Struthio camelus: one gene and its partner. The protein of the gene in region 2 purifies or fractionates together with the protein of the main gene of each other region. This does not show direct contact. Links are inferred from orthologs where the notes say so. Each region holds a gene or a part of one and is shown on either strand. Other genes may lie near its edges.

Region 1 (9,828 bases), on a different chromosome or scaffold from region 2:
AGCAAGCCTCAGTGAAAACAGTGTAAATTCTCCTGCTTTTAAGACAGCAATATCAGACTTTCTTATGCATGCACTAGAACAAAGAGTGATAGGTGAAAGGTTTGGAACTAAGGCCAAAGACGGGTATTAAAAATTCAGATGATATCTTCAGATAGAGTTTGAATTTAAGATTTTTTTTTTGATCCAGTAGGGGTTTAGACTTTTCCTAAAGACAAATTCTATTGTTCTTCATATTTTATCATCTGATAAAATGTATTAATCCAGTTTTGAACTTTGAATTTTCCAGTCTTATTCTATTTTTCTATTATAGCCTGTACACATACAGCATATCAGATACATACGGAAAGAACATATACAATATATACGCCACTTCAGATTTCATTCATACAAGTGTTCCAAATTCTGTGCTCAATTTCAGCAGTATAAACCAGGAATAATTCCCGTGATAAAATGTTATGCCTGGTAAAGTATCCTACATAATTAATTGCAGTTATTCTTCTATTTTTAATCAAATATTCTCATTGTAAAACACACAGACTGCAAACAACACATGTCCTGCTTGAACTTAAAACATCTACAGCGCTTAAGGAAACAGGGTGAAATACCGTAGCAATAAAACAAAGAGAAAATGGCACTGTCACAGTTTAGGCTCTAACAATTAGCTTTCACATCTTTTCCTTTTCAGGTATACTGGCAATACTTTCCATGCAAATTTCTAACATACAAGGATGTGCACTTCAGCACCTAAAGCCTTTTTAAATAGGAAGCATAAAACGATGCAAACATGTAAGTGACAACTGATGCAAAATGCCAGGAATGACCAACAGCTGATACTGCCAAACTATCAAGGGCAGCATGACTGTTACCTACTTTAAAAAAAAAAAAAAAAAAGAAGGAAATGCTTAATCTCATTATCTTTGAGGTTAAATACAAAGATCAGCTTTTAGCTCTATTATTAAAAAAGTTTTAGGCCGACAGGGCACATGTCAAGTCTTCATTTGATTTTTAACTTTACAAGACCTCCTATAACAGATTTCTGAATCTTGGTCCCCATGCCCAATGCCTTTTCCGTAGGCTCCACCCTACAAACTTACAGACAGATCATAACAAAAGGATCCCAAATCTGCATTCCAAAGTCACAAACTTTCCTCAGTGTTCCTAACACAGAAGTACTATCAACAACAGAAAGTAAAATTACTAAAGATCATACCTTTGCTTGTGTAAGAGCTGCTTTCTTCACCTGCAGTTGAGACTGCAGTAGTTTGAAATTTTTGGACCAGCCTTCTGTTTTGGAATCGCTGGTCTCAACTCCCAAGTCATCGTAAAGTGACATTTTCTCCTCAATTTAGAACTAGAGGACAAAAAAAAAAAAACCTATAATAAGTCATATGTCCAGTGCTTATTTGCTACTAGCTCGGTTATGTTTGTGCATCATATTTTTAATTAATTAATTTATTTATTTATTAAAGTCGGAGAGAAATCCCAGCAGTGACATTTTTCTGGTTAACGGCAGATATGCATGACTGCTCTGAGGCTGTATATAAACAATTATTTAAAAGGTAATAAAACGCTTCCATGAATACTGTTCAAGTGTCAATGGGTTTTGGAAACTTCCTAAAATTATTTTTGTAACATTAGGTTTGTAAAACTGTGGTTGTAACATCATCACTTCAAGCTTTTAAAAAGTTACACTGTGGTCCACAAAAATATTTCGAGGGTCACAAAGAAATTCTGAAGTATGACATAAACCTCAAGAGCTCCAAATCAGAGCATGTAAGAAGTTTTGTCTCCCTGACCTTAAAGTCTGCACAAATATATCAACATTCCAATCAGCTGCTTAAACTTCAGGATTTTTTGCAACATCATTGGGCTGAAAAGAAATATCTTTCTTAGAGTAATTACACTTGCTGGAGCACAGCCTGCCAGAGCATGATTAAGCAAATGTTTTCACACACTTAAAGCCCTCTCAAATAAACGGAATACGTAAACACACACATATAAAATTGGCTAGGTAACAACATCAATAACAGATAACATACATCACTGTCCACGTGATACATCATCTGACACGAAAGTAAGGAGAAAAAGCGTGCACGAATGAGAGGTCTATCACCTGCAGCAGCCTGTAGAATAACCTGCAAGCACATTATTTAGCCTCAGTTAGGCCTGGATTACAGTATCTGTGACCACCGCTTTAACTTCTTAATTTCCTGCAGGAGAAAACATCCGTAACGGAGTCAAGGACTACCGATAAACTGTCTGCAGTGAAACTGTACAGACATACAAGACTCGCTACGGAGCCCGCGCTCCCACAGATTTGACGGGTGCCTGTATTTGAAGGCACCTGCTGACACAGAGGAGCTGTCTGCTTATGTAGAGTTTTAAGGATTTAAGCAAATCTCAGATGGAGCAGGCAGCAACTGCATTACGATCTCCAGACATGGGGCTGTAGGAAATAATACAGCAAATATAAACACCTATATATTACTTCTAAGGTAAAATAAGTAAAAATAATAAAGAATAGGTGATTTCAGCCTGCAGAGGAACATAAACAACCGACGCTAGTTTACTGCATGAATATGGGGGGGGAGAGGTGGGTTTCGGTGGGGATTATTACCTAAATGGGCGTGGGGGGGGGGACAGGGAGGGATATCGCAAAGCACAGGGGAAGGCGACGGGGAGGGGGCACCACACGAACCCGCGTGCGCCACGGCAGACGAAGTTTGGGCAGCGAAAGGCGATTTTAGCCCCTCCAACCGCCGCGGCCCCCAGGGGCAGCGGCTCCGCGCCTCGGGGGACACCGCGGGCGGCGGGGCCGGGAGGCGGCGGCGGCGGCCCCCGCCGCGGGCCGAGGCCGGGCGCTGCGGGGCGGGGCGGAGGCGTTAGGGGCCCGGCCCCATCCCCGTTCCCCGCCCACCACCGCCGCGTTGAGGCGCAGAGCCGCCCGCTCGGCTCGGCTTAGTCGCCGGTCTGCGGGAGCCGCCGCCGCCGCCGCCCGCCCGCCGCTCACCCGTCACCGCGCCGCCGCCGCCGCCATTAGCCGGCCGCTGAGGCAGCCGGGAAGGGCCGCCCTCCACCAGCCAGCGCCCCCACCCCCTTCCGCGCCTGCGCACACGCCGCCCGCGCCTGCCTCCCCGCCGCGACGGCGCAAGCGCGCGGCTCGGCCAATGGGCGCGCGGCGCGGGCGCCGCCGTTGTACCGCCCTCTGGCGGGCGCGGCGCGGCACCGCCCCTTTCCCCGCCGCCCTCCGCGGCCGGGCGCGGCCCAGTCCGCGCCAGTTCGGCACTGGGAAGGGGCGGGGGGGGCCCTCCCCTCCCACTTCCTCCCCCCCCTCGCCCCTCATTTTTCGGGTCCTGTGACGCCCCGTGCGGAGGTGGCAGGCGACGGGCGGCTCTGCAACAGCCTGTGCGATCACCCTTATTTAAATAAAGCGCACGGAAATAAGAGAGAGACCTACAAACGACGTTAAACTTCGTGTTGGCGGGGGCGGTTTGGGCGCTGGCGGGTGGGCCGTGTAGCCCACGTTAAAAACAAACAAAAAAAAGACCTTAAAATCCCAGTGGACCTTAAAAGAGACCTTAAAATCCCGAGCTGGGCCTGCGTTCGCCACGTCGTCATTGGGGAAAAAACGAGCGATCGCTCAAGGAAGTTGCCCGAAAAATACGGCGGGGGGGGGGGGGGAGAAGCGAGATAACCTTCTGGTGGGGCTACGTTGGGGTTTGGGGCGGATTTAGCAGTTCCATCAGCAAGGGGGCAGGACGGTATCGGCGTCCCGGCCATCGCCCTGCGTTTTGCCTTCATGCCGCGTTTCGCTATACTGTGTTTTTGGCGCCTTGAGAAGTCTACGTCAGCCCGGCGGACGAGGTAACGCGCCTGCCGGCGTGTCTCCTTGGGCCTTCGGCGCCTCGACCTCATCTTCATTCCCGCCAAAACCAAAAACAAAACAAAACAAAACAAAAAAACAACAAAAAAAAGAATAATATGAGACTCTTCCGAGTTTGACGGCACAGTTGTGAAGCAGCTAGGAGGAGAGAAAGCTGACGCTCGTTTTGCTTCAAGCGTATTTCAGACGCCCCCGAATCATGTATCGCTCAGGCACGCTGGTTAGCGCCTGGCTCTGCCGCGGCTCCCGCTAACGCCGAGGTGGCTGGGTGGTGGTGTTACTGCAGGGTATTTGGCCGTTGAAAGTACCTGTAGTATGAGAGCATCGTTTGGGCCTGAAGTGGGCTGGATCGGTTGATTCCGCTGATCGTCTCGCTGCAGAAATCATTTCTGCTTTCCAAAACAGTCCCTGAAATGGCGTTATCTGTCCTCGCCGGGAGTTTATTCAGCTACGGTGATTTCTCCGCCTCTCCAGAGAGCTCATTTCGAGGTAATTCGGTAATTATTGCTCTCTGTGACAGTGGCAAGATCTCGTTTTTGTTGTTAATGGGCAGCTGTGTCCCTGACTTAAAGCCGGCAGAGAGTGAATTCAGACGCGTTGAGATTTCTAAGAATTATGGCCACTTGCACCACGTGATAAACGCTGTGGAAATAAACATTCAACCCTCTCTGCAAAACACAGCAAAACCTCCAACCCCAAAGCAGATAGCGTTGTCACTTCAACCTCAAAACTACAGCCTTATCTCTTTGTTGATCAAAAAGTCCTTATCTCCAGCATTACTTTTGACTTTGCTACTATGCAATTAATTCCCCATGCTTAAAATTAAAAAAAAAAAAAAAAAGAGGTACCAGTGAGCAAAGCTACTACTTAAAAAAGTGGTAGTTTATTTTAAGTTCTGGCCTGTTCTCGGCTCTTCCCATCCTACTTAAGCTGGTGTCTGCTAAGGGGATCTTTGTAGGCAGTGTGTTTCCAGATGAATCTATTTTAATAATAATAGTGAAAACTTCTTAAATGTAAGAAGAATTTTTCTTCGCTTTATTCAGGGAGGATCATCCAAGCAGGCTTTTGTTCCTTGCTCTAGAAATGCCTGCATTTTTAAAGGAAGAGATTGATATGATACACATTTCTCTAACTTTGTGCAAGAAAGAAAATCAGCAGGATACTTGAATACCAATTTCATAGTGACAGAATCACATTGAGCAAGGACTGGTGTTAAAGAAAGGAATCAAATAGTTAATTGCATTAAAATGTACTGCAAAAATCACTGTGGTTTGAAATTCAGCACCTAACAGCACAGAGCAGTATCACAGCATGATAGTCACTGGGAAAAACTCAAGAGATCAGAGTCTGCAAAGGCAGAAAACATGATAATCATCAGAGATTTCAGTTACTCCTGGGAAGACTGGGAAAATGCACAACAGGAAGGGCAAAGGCTAAATTATTAGACCCGTAAATAGCTACCTATTAAAGCAATTAGTCAGATAATTCGCGAGTGGGGAAGCAGCTCTTGATTAAGTCCTGGAAAGTGCATTAGGCGTGGTTCAAAATGTGTCTGTCATCATCTGTGGCAATAACCACCATAGACTGCTATAAGACACTTAAAAGAGCAAAGAGGCCAACAACATCCATTGCATTAATTTTGGCAGAATTCTGGCTGACGGCATGGAGACCGTTCGAAGGCGTGATCTCAAGTCTGCGTTGGCGAAACCATCCAAAAGAAGGGCCCTTGCACAAACTGAGCCCCTGCAGACAGCACATTTGATGTCGCGCGCCATCGTGCCGTGCCTACATCTTGCACGAAAGGCTGCGTCTCTCTGCTGAGGATTGCTGCTGGGCCACACGCGTCCTCCGGAGAAAGTATGAACCAGCTGCGAGCAGGTGGAGAAGTCGCACCACGCTGCAAAGTCTGAAGTCCCTGGACAGTCTGGGAATGGAGGACACCCTTGCCAGGGTCATCCCCAGTCCTTCATATTGGGGAGGTGGATGATAGCTTGGACAGACGCCTCTTTTTCAGCTTTATCTGCAAAGGCAGAGAGGGTGAAGGACATCCTGATGTATGCCAGTGGGGACACTGTGCTGCAGCTCCCGGCCACTTTTCTGAGACATCTGCACCCTGAGGTCAAACCCTGCAACTTTCTATAAGCTGTTTAGGCTAAATTAACTCCATGGCAGAGTATTTCCTTGGCAGACTATGTGCCAGGAGGGTGGCGTGGAGAAGAGCTCCAGATGGGCTCTCCCTCTAGTTGTAAGTGTCCCAAAGCCCAGAGAATGGCAAGCCCATGAGGTCCTTTCTGATGAAGAGGGGATCCATACCCCACAGCCTGTGGAAAGGTCTCTGGGGGTGAAGGCTGGGAAGAGTATCAAGGATTCAGGGCTGCTCCCGGTGGTGCCTGAGGAGCAGATGTGACCTGGTTTGTGCCATCCCCACTGTTGTGAAATTATTTGAAGTGCCTGCTACAGGGGAACCATCGCTGGGTCATCTTGGGCAACTTTCACCGTGCATGAACGGGCTATGCAAGCCAGACATACACAGCTGAAAGAGTACAATGCACATCTTTGCTGATTGACACACACAATAGATGGACAGGATTTAATGAGGTAGTGGGCCAAGCATTAGCGTGTTCATGGCTTCAGTGAGATACCTGAAGAGCCTTTGCTGGCGAGTCAGAGCCAGCTGGGGCAGCATCAGCCCTCTGCTGCCTCCAACAGACCCTCGACAGGGCTGAGTTGCCCCCTTCCAGCTACCTGTTTTTTCCTTCAGGATTTTAAACCTTTCCATGTTCATGTTTTTTCTCTTGAATCCCGCTAATGATCTCCACCTCAGCAGTCCCACCTGCCCTTCTTATCTCGCCTGGTTCCACTCTACGCCTTTTCACACAGCTCTTTCTCACAATATGGCAATTTTCTCAGCAGTCTGAAACGAGGTCATGCGGTTGGGCCATACCAGAGCTGGGTCCAGGATGCTGAACTCCTGGCAGAGGAAAGAAAAGGGTATGGAAGGGTTATGGACAGCAGATTGCAGCAGATTGCAGACAGGACCAAAAGGCTACGAACAAATTCTGTGTTTTCCCCGTTGTGGGCAGTGAGTGGCAGAGTGCCAGGGGCCTGGGTTAGGCCCCCGCAGCATAATGATAAGCAGCCTGGAAAAGGTCTCAGCAAAGGTGGTTATATTTGCCGTGGATTCAAAATTATTCGGAGTAATCAGCCAAAAGCTGAATGCAAGAAGTTGCAGAAGGATGGCATAATGCTGGCTGGGTGATGAGATGGCAGATGGGACCCAATGTTAATGAATGCAAAGCAGTGCACGCAAGAGAAAATAACACTAGCAATACACACACAGCAGCAGGCTCTCAATCAGCTGTTACCATTAAGGGAAGAGATGCTGGATTCACTGTGGATGGTTTTCTAGAAAGGCCAACTCAGTGCTCTGAAGGAGGCAAGAAAGCAAACAGGCTGCTAAGAAGTATTAAAAGAAGAGAGAGAGAGAGAGAGAGAGAGAGAGAGAAAAACAGAAAACATACTTGATATAAATCCACAATGCACATGCAAAGGTGCCTCCTGGGTACCTCATCACTTCCAAGTAGATGCAATGCAATGCAAAAATGTACAATGAAGGACGACAGAGATGTCATTCTAAACTGAAGGAATTAAGATGTATCAGCTGAAAAGAGACAGCTGAAAGGTGCTATGGGAGCATCCAACATCACAAGTGGTACAGAAACGGTAAAAAGGGAGTTCTCATTTTTCTCCCTAGACGTGATCTCCAAGAAGGTACAAAACAAACAGAGGTGTAAACTGTGGATCTCGGTGCCAGGGGGCACTCTGGAGGATAAAGGGATCCAAAAAAAGATAGGAGACGGTCCTAAGGAACAGGGCCATTCGGGCTGGTAAACACAGTGGTCAAAGTACAGTCTGTGTCTCAAAAATCCCACTAACCCACTGATTGCTGGAAGCAGGGCAGAGTTACTAGAGAAAAAAAAAAAAGCAGTCCATAAATTCCATGTTTCTTACAAATTCCCTTAAGCTTAAGCCATTTTTACCAGACTTAGATTATTTGCACTGTATTTTACAGATAGACCTTCTGAGGATGAGGCTTGCATGCTTAAAGCCGGGTTGCTAATATGCCAAAATGGCATTAGAGGGCAGTGCATCTCAGTCTACGGGGAGACCTTTGAGGTGGCAAGGGATGGCTGCAGTAAACCCCCCAAAACCATCCACAAGGCCCCCGGGGAACAGAAGAGCAGAGTGGTTCCCACCCACAGAGGTGGGGGCGAGATGCGAATCGCAGCGGGGCACACGCGAAAGAAAGCTGAGCTTGGTCAGAGGAACGTCAGTCAGGTTAGAATAAAGATGCTTAAATCACGTGGGATGGAGGGATGATTTCCAGCTAACGGTGCGGGTCCTAAGCAGAGAGCAGACCCACCCCACTGCACACCTGCTTTTTGTTAATGGTCCTGGCAGCACCTTCAAAACTTTATGAACTTTTTTTCTTTTTCAGAAAATACCCACTTGATTATCACTGCCAGCTTCACAGTGACCTTCAGTATGGCCCGCGTGGCAAAATGAAATATGAAAATGACGCTGCCAGAGGGAAAGCTCATTCATTCATCCTGGCTTGGGAAGATCGGCTCGAGTTTGTTGGATCCTAAACCAACATGTTGGATCCTAAACCAAACACAATGTGTGATGCCATGGTTTTGCTGAAAGGTACCACCCTAACCCAGTATGCCTTCAGATCTGCTTCATGATCTCTAAAATACTCTGATAACTCTAAAATAAATCAGAAAGGAACTGTGCTGTAATTCTTCTTTTGTAAAACTCACCAATGAATAACCATCATAAAGAGCTGAAAACAGTTAGAAAGGCATTTGGAATATCCTTACTTCTGCAGAGAGAACAGCTGCAAACGCAATGAAGAAAGCCGTCTATTTTTGCCATATATAGAGTGACCCAAAAACCCAGAGGAGCGTGGCTTTTTTACCTAGTTTTTACCTACTTCACATTTTTTACCTAGTTTCACATTTTGGCTCAGTTCCACAATGAGAATGACTGAGACAACATCCAGTAATATTTTGGCACAGATTAAAGTTTCCGAGACCCATATTTAAATACTTTTTAGTCACAAGTAATGAAAGCTTTATTGCTACTGACACTGCACAGTGGAGTATTTTGATTTGGGCAATGACAGGGAAAAATAATATAAATGAGGAAGTGACCATTTTGTTCTACCATCAGTGTCTCAAGCTTGTTTGAAGAACTGAGAAAACATGTTGAAAATCTAAGAGAAAATGTGACGCTTGACTAGACTCAGTACAGATGGGACGTCTGCCGTAACTGCAGGAAAAAAATGGTTCTGCTGCTCAGCCAGAGAAAGGTTTTGTGTAGAAAGTTATTCAGATTCCCCCTGTGTTAGCCATAAAGAGAATTTTGTGCCAAAGATGCAGGTTTCTTACAAGCTTCAAATCCCACTGTCTGGTGCACTGATCAAATTGGAGGGATTCCAGGAGTTTTGTGTTTGCTTTTATGAAAATGAAGAACGAGAAAAAAAAAAAAGAGTTAAAGCTCCATTGCATTGATCATCGATTTTAAAATGAAAAGCCTTGGGAAAGATTTTGGAAGCTAAGGTAGACAATGCTGGAGCATTTGGAAGACGATGAAAAAAAAATTAACATTACAGGCTAACTTGCGTTCCATCCCAACCATTTCTGTGCCTGCTTGCAGTGAAAGGTTTTTCTCTCTAGTGTTACCTTCTTTCTTTTAGTGTTCTCTTCTCTCAGAGTCAAAACTTTGGCTGAACTATTGCTTTTTCAGAAATCTAAAGAGCTTCCACTCTTTTTTAAAGATGAAATAATGGAAAGTACTCCTTCACTATTAGGTTTATATGACTCCAAGTTTGAAGATTTTATGCCAGGAAAGGCCCTGGTGGTTAAATTGGCTGATCCGCT
Region 2 (9,988 bases):
AGAAGAACCTACTTACATAATGAATCTATGTGAAGATTTACAAAACGTTCTCTGCAGGTTAAAATCTGCCGTCTGTATTAACGGCTAGCTTTCAAGAACTGCTAAAATCAACAGTATTCATTATTAATGCTAAAAATGAATAGCTTCTGCTGCCACAATAATTTGTATGCTTAGTACATACCAATGTTAAGTTATAGTTTTCTTTAGTTTCTCTTTTACCAACTATTCCTTTCCATTAAAAAGGAAAACAAGCTGTAAAATACAGATTTGCATTTGTGACTACCACAATGCACACAGGGAACTTTCTGGGATTGTATCAGCAGCCAGATTATTCAACATTTGAAATGACAAGGTTATGTTTTACTTTATTTTTGTAAACCTTTGCAAAGGATTTCAACAGGGGAAAAAAAATAACATTTACACTTCAAAAAAGAAAAAATTTGTTCTCAAATATTTATATGAATAAGGAAAGCATTACTTTTCTTTTGTGGCTAACCTGGTACTGGCCAAGTCCAAGAGCTGGGCTCTGTAGCTGCTGAATTATTGATTCATCAAAGTACCCATTTTTTTCCCACAGCTGAAGAAGCTGCATAAATGCAAGAGCAAAAGGTTGTTAGAAATGATGAACGATAAAAGAAAGAAAAGAAAAAAAATCAAGGCACAGCATTTTTATGCCTCTAGCTTTGTCAAAAGGCCTAGGATTTAGTCACTTGTCTTTGGAATCACCAAAGACTCAGAACTATTCATCATGATGATAACTTTTAAATAAAGCTCAAGTACTTTTTTTTGGTTTAAAGTTCTAGCTCAAACATAAATTAAAGTACATCCTTTGACAGGCTTTATGAAGAAGAGCATACTAGAAAAATCTCAGCAGTCCTCTTCTGTCCTTGGATTTGTGAATTTGCCTAGCACTAACCTAAGAAAGCAAAACATACAGCTAAACCAAAACCAGCTACTCACTCTGGCAATTTTCTGCTGTTTATCCTCCTCCACTGCTAGAAAGCTGGTACAATATATAGGCACAACCACCTTCTGTAAAGCAGCCAGAAGATCTCGTGCTTGCTTCCGCTGGCTTCAAAAAAGGAAGGATAAGAGTTACTGCCTTTTAATATAACATTAACAGCACTGTAACATTCAATTCCTCCTAACTTGTGCTGTACTAAAAGTAGAGGATTCATACAGATACAGAGAGAATTCTCTTCTCTACATTTGTACTGTACAGCCTTATCTGGAATAAGTATACACAAAGTAGATAAAGGCTGAATATGATTATTAAAGTACTGGCTATTTCTTTGCACCAATTGCACACACCTTAAGGCAGCTGCTAACGAACATGTGTATTTTAACAAAATAAAAAGTGACTAGTTGAACTAAGAATGTGTCTAGCAGAGAGAGACTTCACCAAGTTAATCCAAACAGCAAACTGGAAAACATCGTTTTAGTTCTTACCAGTGATGCAATACATCATTGATTAAGTAGATTAAATGTAACCGAAGCTCAAAGTGAGCTCCTTCTGCTGTTATACGATTTCGCAGGTGCCCAGCCATCAGCTCACAGTGTGCAGGAGACTTCGCATTACTAAACATCCAGTTTTTGCCAGCCTTAGAAAATGAATTTTAGAATATTTTAAGTTAGTCTGATGCGTTCACATCATATGGACTTCCTAAAACTGAAATAACTCCAAGAAGGAAAATTTTCAATAACAGCTGTCATCTCACGTACCATACAGTGAAACAATAAAGTTGCTATTTTTAACCATGCAGTTTCAAAATGCAAGTTGTACTTAATCTACACCACCATTAAGTAACAGTTCAGATTTAGATCATTTAACTCACTCGCTCCACGATCAGGCTTAATTTACCTTGCCTATCTGGGGGGTAATTTCTGTCCTATTTCTTTATAATCAGTAGATGCTTTAAACGACGTTATCCTAAACCCCAAGGCAGCATTAAAATCGCTACCCCAACACATTTCAAGTTAGGGACCGATCTCTTCTTTTTCGTTAGGGAAAGCTGACCCCCTCTACTCCCTCAGTTTCCTGGGAAGAACCTCTTCTCCAATATACGGAACTGACTTCATGGCCTGAGCAGCTGAACACAAGCAAAGTAGTCAATGCGTGGAGTCATCAACAGCCAATGGAAGAAAAAACAATTGTGACTGGAATGAAAGCCTTCCCGTTGCCTTTTGTACAGGTAAGGCCTATACGTCCTTCTTGGTGTTGCGTTTACAGCAAGTCAAAGAAGTGTTTCACTTGCAAAGACAGGAGCAGAACTTCTAAGATACGCAAGGATGTTTACTTACTGAGATTGCATCTTTTGTACACGTGTCAATTATTGGCTGCAACAAGTTGTCAAATTCATTCATATCTAACTGTGTTTCCTCTAAAACTTTCTGCATTTGTTGCTCAATTGCAAGGGCTACTGCTGATGTAACTTGTTCCTGAAAAAGAGGGAATTACATCACATTCAATATTCTTCTGAAGAACCACCAACCTGATGTGTGCCTGTGCTCTTAACCATAAGCAGTTATCTTGAAGACCAAGACTCCTTACACGCAATGTGACCATGTATAAATTTGTTTCAATTAGTTATTTTTGAGAAGGGAGAAGAGAAAGACTCTTCTCACTCTTCAGGAGAAATACTGTTCATTTCCACCTCCTAAATCCCTCCATCATGAAGCAAGTGATAACTGCAGACAGCTGCTAAGCGCATAGCACATGCCACACGTACTCCCCTTTCTCCAGGAACTCTTCAATTCGGAAGCTCTAAAAGCAAAACGCATTCTGTAAAAGAGCCAATTCAAGTACACAGTGCCATCCCACTCCCAAAAGAATTCACCTTAGAGCGCTACAAGCTGGAACGTCTCACAATTCCTAGCAAGTTGTAACATCAAATAAAGATTAGAGCAGTCACAATTTATTGCACTCTGTGCAAGCCAGGTAGGGTTTTCATGCAGTTAATAAACTGTTTTAACAAGGATCAAACTTACAAACACATCAGATGCATCTGTTCTAAGGAGATTACAGCAATTGTCACAGAACAAGGACAAGCAAAGCAACGCTCCCTCCTTCTTCTCACCAACATACAACGTCACCACCTTTAGTCAGAAGGAAGCCTTCCTACCCCCTTCACAGCCACTGGTAGCCTACAATAATCCAAGTGACTGTTCATCCTAAACCGACCTGTCTCATAGCGAGGAGATGCTGCTCCTGCTGCTGGAGGTTCCACTGACTCTGCTGGATAAGTTCCTCCACTGAAGGAGTTCCCTGAGGGGCTGGCATAGGCGCAGCCGGTGGGAGAGACGGCTGGGGCAGCGGTTGGATCTGCGCAGTAGCCTCAATATCTTGACTCTGCTTGCACAACACTGTCAGAGAAAGAAAGCTCTCAAAGTAAGCAACAAAGCGAAATCTGCCACCACCGGCCTGTACGTGAAAACAGCGCTGCTTCCAGAACAGAGCCGCAATTTCTGTTTAACACACACAAATAAAAATCAAGCGGGCGAGGGCGGATGGTGTGGAGGGAAGGAGGAAAGTCAGCGGCTCCCTGCACGTGTCGGGGAAGGACGATGCCAACGCCAGGCCCGCTCCTGGGGCGCGACTGCGGAGCAGCCCGGCCTTCCTCCCCCGAAACCCGCAAACGGGGGGGGCGTGAAGAGCCCCAGGTGGGGCTCAACCTGGAGGCGAGAGGGCAGGAAGAGGCTGCGAGCGGGGCCGGGACGGGGAAAGGGGGCTCCGGCAGCCGGAGGAGGGGGGAGAGAGGCCGCAGCCGGCCGCGGCCTTGCCCGCCCGCGGGCCGCACTCACGCTGCTGCTGCTCCAGCGCCAGCTTGTACTTGTAGTAGCCGTAGAAGTCGCCGCCGAAGAGGAAGGAGAACTTGGGGTTCTCCTTCTGCTTCTCCATCGTCATCTTCTCGAACTCGGGCCCGTTCCGCGCCACGAACTGCGCCAGCTTGTCGATGACATTCCGCAGCTCCTGGTCTGCGGGGAGGCAGCGCCGTCAGCCCGAGCCGGCCCCGGCTGCCCGCCCCGCTCCCCCCTCCCCGCCCCGCGGCCGCGCTCACCGTCGGGCGGCAGCGGCATCTCCATGGCGGCGGGACAACGACGAGGGCGCAGCGGCTCCGCCGCCGCCGCCGCCGCCACCACCGCGGCGCTAGGCCCCACCGGCCGGAAGTGCCGCGAGACGCCGGGCGCGGCCGCGCTTTACGGCCCCGTCGCTATGGAGACGGCGGGAGGTGGCGGGGGGGGGAGCGCTGCGCGGGGTCAAGCGCGGCCCGGCCCGCACCGGCGCTGCCCCCCCCCTTCCCCTTCCTGGGGGCACCGGGCCGAGCCCCTGCGCCAACCCCCCCCCCAGGGCCGGGGTGGGGGGGGGGGGACAGACCCCGAGGGCCCCGGCCCGGTGAGGCCTGCGGGGCAGGCCCCGGTGCGCCCCCCCCGAAGTGACCTAACACCGTCATTTCTTTCCGCAGTCAAATCAGGACCGTTCCGAGCTCTGCTGGGCCTCACCTCAGCTTTCCTTCCGCAGCCGCGTTTCTAACCTGCGAGGGGGAAGCCTTGCAGCGGGGCTGAGCGCACATCACGTTCGCCTGCAGGCCGGCTTCTGGGGAGCGTCCCTTCGGAGAGGGCCCGCTCGCTCGTTCGGCCTCGCGCCCCGCTCCAGAGGTAGGAGGCGAGGAGGGAATCGCTCAGCTCTCTCTACTTTATTACGCAACTTTGGGGGGTGGTGGGGGGGGAACAGTAACGCTCAAGGACCAATTTGATGGCAACTCGAGACCAAAAACGCAACGCGGGGCCCAAATCATTTGAGTGTTATTTAATACATTAGGAAAATTGAACTTCAAAATGGAGGTGATGCTCTGGGAATCACAAGAGGCCAAAAGCAAAGCTGAGCGTCCTAACACTTTTATCCAGTGCTCAGCTGGAGCTGTAATCACTCTCTGAAGCCTTCAGCGTTAAATTACGCTTCACAGAATTTCCAGGCACGCAGATAACACCCAAAGACATCCTCACAAAAAGGCAGAACTGTTTATTCTCAACAAGACATACCATGAAGACCCCACTATATTATCTACAGAGTATAAAAACTCAGAAAACGGATGTTTGCATGTATCCAGACACAAGTGGGGAAAAAAAAAAAAAGACAGACAGAATCTGGGTATGATCCTACATCACTTTGCAGTCCTGGAAAATAACACAGACCCCAGAAGACCAGGTTAAATCTTACTTTTAAGTATAAGCTAAGAAACTTTTTCAAAATTTGTAATGCTGCCCTCTACCCCAGCAAAAACATTTGTGCTTTGCGTGTTGGAGCCCGTGCAGCCATCCTTCAGACTTCCACATTCCTCAGCACGCAGCAACAGTTTATCCACAAACTGCCCCAAAACCTGTAGTGACCAGACAGAGGAGTCTGCCAAAACCATCTGAACACTGTTTTACTTTAGCCAGGAAAGAGTCCCAGTTTATCCAAAAGTCACCAATGCAATTTCTTCCCGTCATCCCTTACAGGAACACCAGCTTCAGGAGTAACATCGACAGGCTGGAGAGGTGCAGCATAGGCAATCAGACTAGGAAACCTCCTGAACTTTACAGAACACAATTGAAATAAGAACAGGAAAACCATACAAGAGCGTGCATTTGCTTAAGTGCCAGATTTCCTACAGTAAGGGGGGGGGGGGGAGGGTTTGTTTGTTTTGTTTTTTGGTAAAATCAGCCATATTCACATCAACCAATAAAGTACCAATAGAAACAAAACAAAAAAGGATAGGTGGGGACTGCCACCTGCATCTTTACATTTGAGTACCTACATAAAACATCTGTGATCTCAGGATTTACAGATTTCTTTTACCAGCTCGTACCATCACCACAAAGTTATTTCAGAATTATTTTTAACACTTTACAACATGTTTCAGAAATGGAAGCCTTAGAAAAACAAAGCTCTCCCTTTATTTATATTGCACCTTTTTCACAGATAGCTACACAGCAGAAATTCTTTCTGCTGCAAAATGCTACATCAGAAAAAATGTGGCTTAGAACACATTAGAAAGAAAAGGTCTTGAGTTTCAGGTATCAGCATGAGCTGACCCAAAATCACCAACACCAGCTTTACAAATCACCGCACTCCTAAGTATTGCCTCCATTTTATTTAGTATTTAGGTATTTCAGAAAAATGAGCTTTTTACCAAATTAAAAAGAGGCTCTAATCACTATTGGGTACTACAATTGAGTCTGAAGGGGAACTATTTTCAAGAGATCTTCAAAGAGCACCAAATACTCTTAAGAGCTATGGACAAAAAACCCACACGTAGTGGGGAGAAACTGGTTTCTTTCACACTGGTATCTCTAGAACCACCCAGGACTGTTTTGGGAAGAATTGTCCAGTTTTGTGATGTATTTACATGTACATTATAAATGCACAATGGAAATCAAAACATTTCTAAGGATACCAGTGATAGTGTCCTAACACTAATTATGGCATCCAAATCACACTAGTTCTAGTCTTAAGTAAACATCGGGTAATGTATCACACCCATACAGCAAAACAATAATCTGATTTCTCCCAAGTGGCCATTACCACTAATGTATGGCACTCCCGAAATGTCCTGCAAGTAAAAAAAAAAAAAACAAAAAACCAAACCCCTTCACTTTGATTTAATAACAGGGTCATTATACACGATTGTCTAGATATGCCCTTTTTATTCCAGTGTTTCCATACTTTCTACAGACCTATGTACATAGTTAAATACGTCATTAATTTACAAACCATGTTAAAACAAATGTTTCACTTTGCCAAACAAGATCTTGCAGGTGTCCAAGATCAAAATATATATTACAAGAATATCAGAAACTTCCTTTACCTGAATGTGGGCAATATTGCTTAAGGACTTAGATTCAGGTATTCAGCAAAACCACCCATTGTAACTGATTCGCTTAACTGTTTTAATTATGTATTCTATTGTACAAAGTTATCCCCATTGACCACAGACCTGAACTAGAAGAGCACGAATGTGGTCAGGCAGTCTCTGGGGAAGAAGCCCAGGCCTCACTCTCTGGGTCCTAAATGGGAGATCCTATTTTGAGTCAGTCCCCTTCTGCTCTGCGCTAAGGACAACAGCTTTTGTTTCGGAGATACGGTGAGGCTACGAGCCCAAACTGCACCGGAGCAAGGCATTTTCAACAGAAAGCCCTCACCTGCTGCTGTACTCTTGACAGAAGAAGCGGAGTCAAAGACCTGCCACGGTTAAGCGTGCAGTGCCAGCTTTCTCAGAAAGGAGTCACAACAAGATCAGGCTCCGTCCCTTGGAAAATTAGCCATCTATATATATTTAACCAAGCCTCTGCTCTGTGAATAAGGTGCGTGGAGCTTTATTCACCTTCTAAGGAAAAGCTCAAGTTGTACACAGCTGTTACAGTGGTAAACATACCAGAAAAAGTTCAGATTAAGTCATAGTACTTCTGCAAATCCCTATGGCCCCCACTGCTACTGTTTACTGGTATTTCACCCACTTTGAGGTAGGGAAGAATCACCCTCCCACCCCCATTTCCCAAACAGGAAACTGAGGCACAAACAACAAGATCAAGCATTTGCAGGAGTCTAACAGGTTACACCTAGCTCCCTTTGAAAGCAGTTGGACACCTTACTTCAGCCCCTCTTAAAAAAAAATCAGCCTAAATGTCTCAGCCTAAAGTCAAAAGTCTTTTGCAGAGCCAGAATCTAGTCCAAATCCCGAGTCCACAAGATCCTTTTTACATTTATGCAACAGCACTTAAGTATTGGGAAGCAAGCCTTAGAAATACAAATTTTGCACCTTCCCACAGTAAAAAAAAAAAAAAAAAAATATATATATATATATATATATATATATAAAATTAATACTGGAATAGGCAAAAGCAATTCCATATGAACAAATGCTTTTCCTCACAATCTTTTTTCTTGTTAATCAGGTTGGGGAATAATTTATTCAGATTTTCTAAGCTAAAAGCCCAAGTTCTATGCCAGCATGAACAGATTCAACACCAGGGAAGCCACGGAAGTTCTGCTCACAAACATTAGCAGCTTATTTAACCCATCTCTAAAGTTTCAGAAGGACTGTTTCCTCTTTTGGACTGTACCACGGAAGGCAGTCTACAGAACTACCTCCATAGACAACCAAAAGAATGAGATCAGGTTGACTTTGTACTTAAAAATAAATTCTTTAGTATCCAGAAAGGAGTCAAATCATCATTTCACTTCAAAGAAACAGTCATGTTTAAAGCATTAAATAAGTAGAGGGAGTGTTTTGTACAGCACCATACCCTAAATTTTGTTACCAGTATCTAATACCTTTCTAGTAAAAACTTAATACCTATGCTATCAAAATCTTGCTATACAACAGCTTTTCTGTTAAGGAAAGAAGGACCCTAAAATCTTCTTTGCTAAGGAGCAGTAATCTGGTTCAGCAAAACCAAAGTTCAACTGGTTTCATTCCTTTCCTGCACAAATGCAGTATCTGACACACAACAGTTGACTCGTCTAGAATTAAGTACCTTCATTGACGCTAACTGAATCAGTACTTATTACTCATAAATTATATATTTACTGCTAATTCAAAATATTTTTTCTTAATAATTTACTATCAAGCTAGGGGAGTTGCAGAAAGAGAAGGATATAAAATTTAGCTTCCTTCAGCTGAAAGTAGAAGTCAGGCCAAATGCACACAGCAGCTCCAACAGTGCTGATTAAGAAAGTTATAAAAACAATCAGGGACTGAAAAGATAGACTTAAGAAACAATTAAAAATGATGATTATTCAAAGCCATGCATTCATAAAATATCAGTCAAATAAAGGAGCATAGTTTGTGCATAAAACTGAGAAGAAAACACCTTAAAACTTTGAATTTTTAAGCCAACACAAGAGTTTTGTAAGAACAGGTGTAAAGCAAGTAAAAAAAAAAAATCATATTGTTCCAAACACTTTATTTGTCAAGGTGTTTTCTGTATTGCCAGGGAAGAGCAATGTCTGAAGTTACAGGACGACATTGTTTAGAAAACAATGATGAACTTAAGCTCTGTTTTGTTACCTACAGCAACTGGAAAAACAATGATTTTAGAAAAAAATGGTTCTCTATGCCTGAAAAAAGATTCTTGAAGGGATCAATTTTTCTACTGTCTACTCTTTCAGAAACATTCCTGGTTTGTCATCAAAAACTGAAGGTATAGGCACAGAGGTAATTAATACCCACACGAAGTTTCATATTTGCTCAAGATGAATTCAAGTCTGCCTGTCCGCTACTGATAAACAGAAGTCATTTCTCCTCGAACTGACAGCCCCTGATAACCAGAAGTGCACATAATTTCACTTTTTCTGAAAATTTCATCAAAATATCATTAAAATACACATTAGAGAACAAATTAAAGGTGATGTTATTAGCATGGAAACAAAGTACTGGCCACGGTTTAGCTGCCAAAACAATAATCCATTGACAGACTCCAAAAAAGGAGCAGTGACAGCAGATATTTTACACTGAAGTTTTCTATCTGCATTTCACCACAATCTCTGTAAAAGAGCTACACTGTGCATTTAGTTCCAGTGTCAGATCTAACTATTTCACGTGTAAAGATCTGCTTAGCAGAAGTCAGAGGTCTGTACCACTTTCACTACACATGCATCTTCCCTTCTGCAAAACCTGTACAATAAAATGGCTTACATTCACGGATGTACTAAAAGTTTCTGATGATGCTGGGGACACTTTGATATCACAGTCTATACCTGCTTGCCAGGATTCTATATATCAAAACGATTTAAATTGTAGGTAGTCGGATAGTTTTGCCGATTATACTGGAAGTGGTCTGTTAAGATATTGGCTCGACCATACTGATAGTCTCCATGTTGTGCAAATGCCGAAAGTCCATTCTGAGACTTCTCAGGGGTGTTTCGATGCCGGTCCAAATTCACGAGGTCTCCAGTTGTAACTGGAAGTAGCTGCTTCTTTGCCTCTTGATTTGCATCATATTTTGT

Evidence for each region. Proteins that work in one complex are often made in the same cells at the same time.
Region 1: the proteins of CHERP (region 2) and RBM17 purify together in Homo sapiens (co-immunoprecipitation; 4 studies listed by BioGRID and IntAct, counting the BioPlex papers as one, with this or other methods). This does not show direct contact. The link is inferred for Struthio camelus from reciprocal best matches to the Homo sapiens genes CHERP and RBM17.

What each region holds. Positions count from the first base shown.
Region 1 is NC_090942.1:4,585,032-4,594,859, reverse strand, and holds the start of RBM17 (splicing factor 45), read right to left. Parts: upstream 4,324-9,828; 5' UTR 4,192-4,323; intron 3,150-4,191; exon of another isoform or gene 3,011-3,149; intron 2,836-3,010; exon of another isoform or gene 2,699-2,835; intron 2,211-2,698; exon of another isoform or gene 2,040-2,210; intron 1,352-2,039; 5' UTR 1,334-1,351; coding exon 1,211-1,333; intron 1-1,210. UniProt on the Homo sapiens protein: Splice factor that binds to the single-stranded 3'AG at the exon/intron border and promotes its utilization in the second catalytic step. Involved in the regulation of alternative splicing and the utilization of cryptic splice sites.
Region 2 is NC_090967.1:5,297,204-5,307,191, forward strand, and holds the start of CHERP (calcium homeostasis endoplasmic reticulum protein), read right to left. Parts: upstream 4,185-9,988; 5' UTR 4,084-4,184; coding exon 4,059-4,083; intron 3,976-4,058; coding exon 3,802-3,975; intron 3,364-3,801; coding exon 3,182-3,363; intron 2,440-3,181; coding exon 2,302-2,439; intron 1,602-2,301; coding exon 1,450-1,601; intron 1,073-1,449; coding exon 961-1,072; intron 587-960; coding exon 497-586; intron 1-496. Other genes in the region: SLC35E1 (solute carrier family 35 member E1), read right to left, coding at 9,755-9,988. UniProt on the Homo sapiens protein: Involved in calcium homeostasis, growth and proliferation.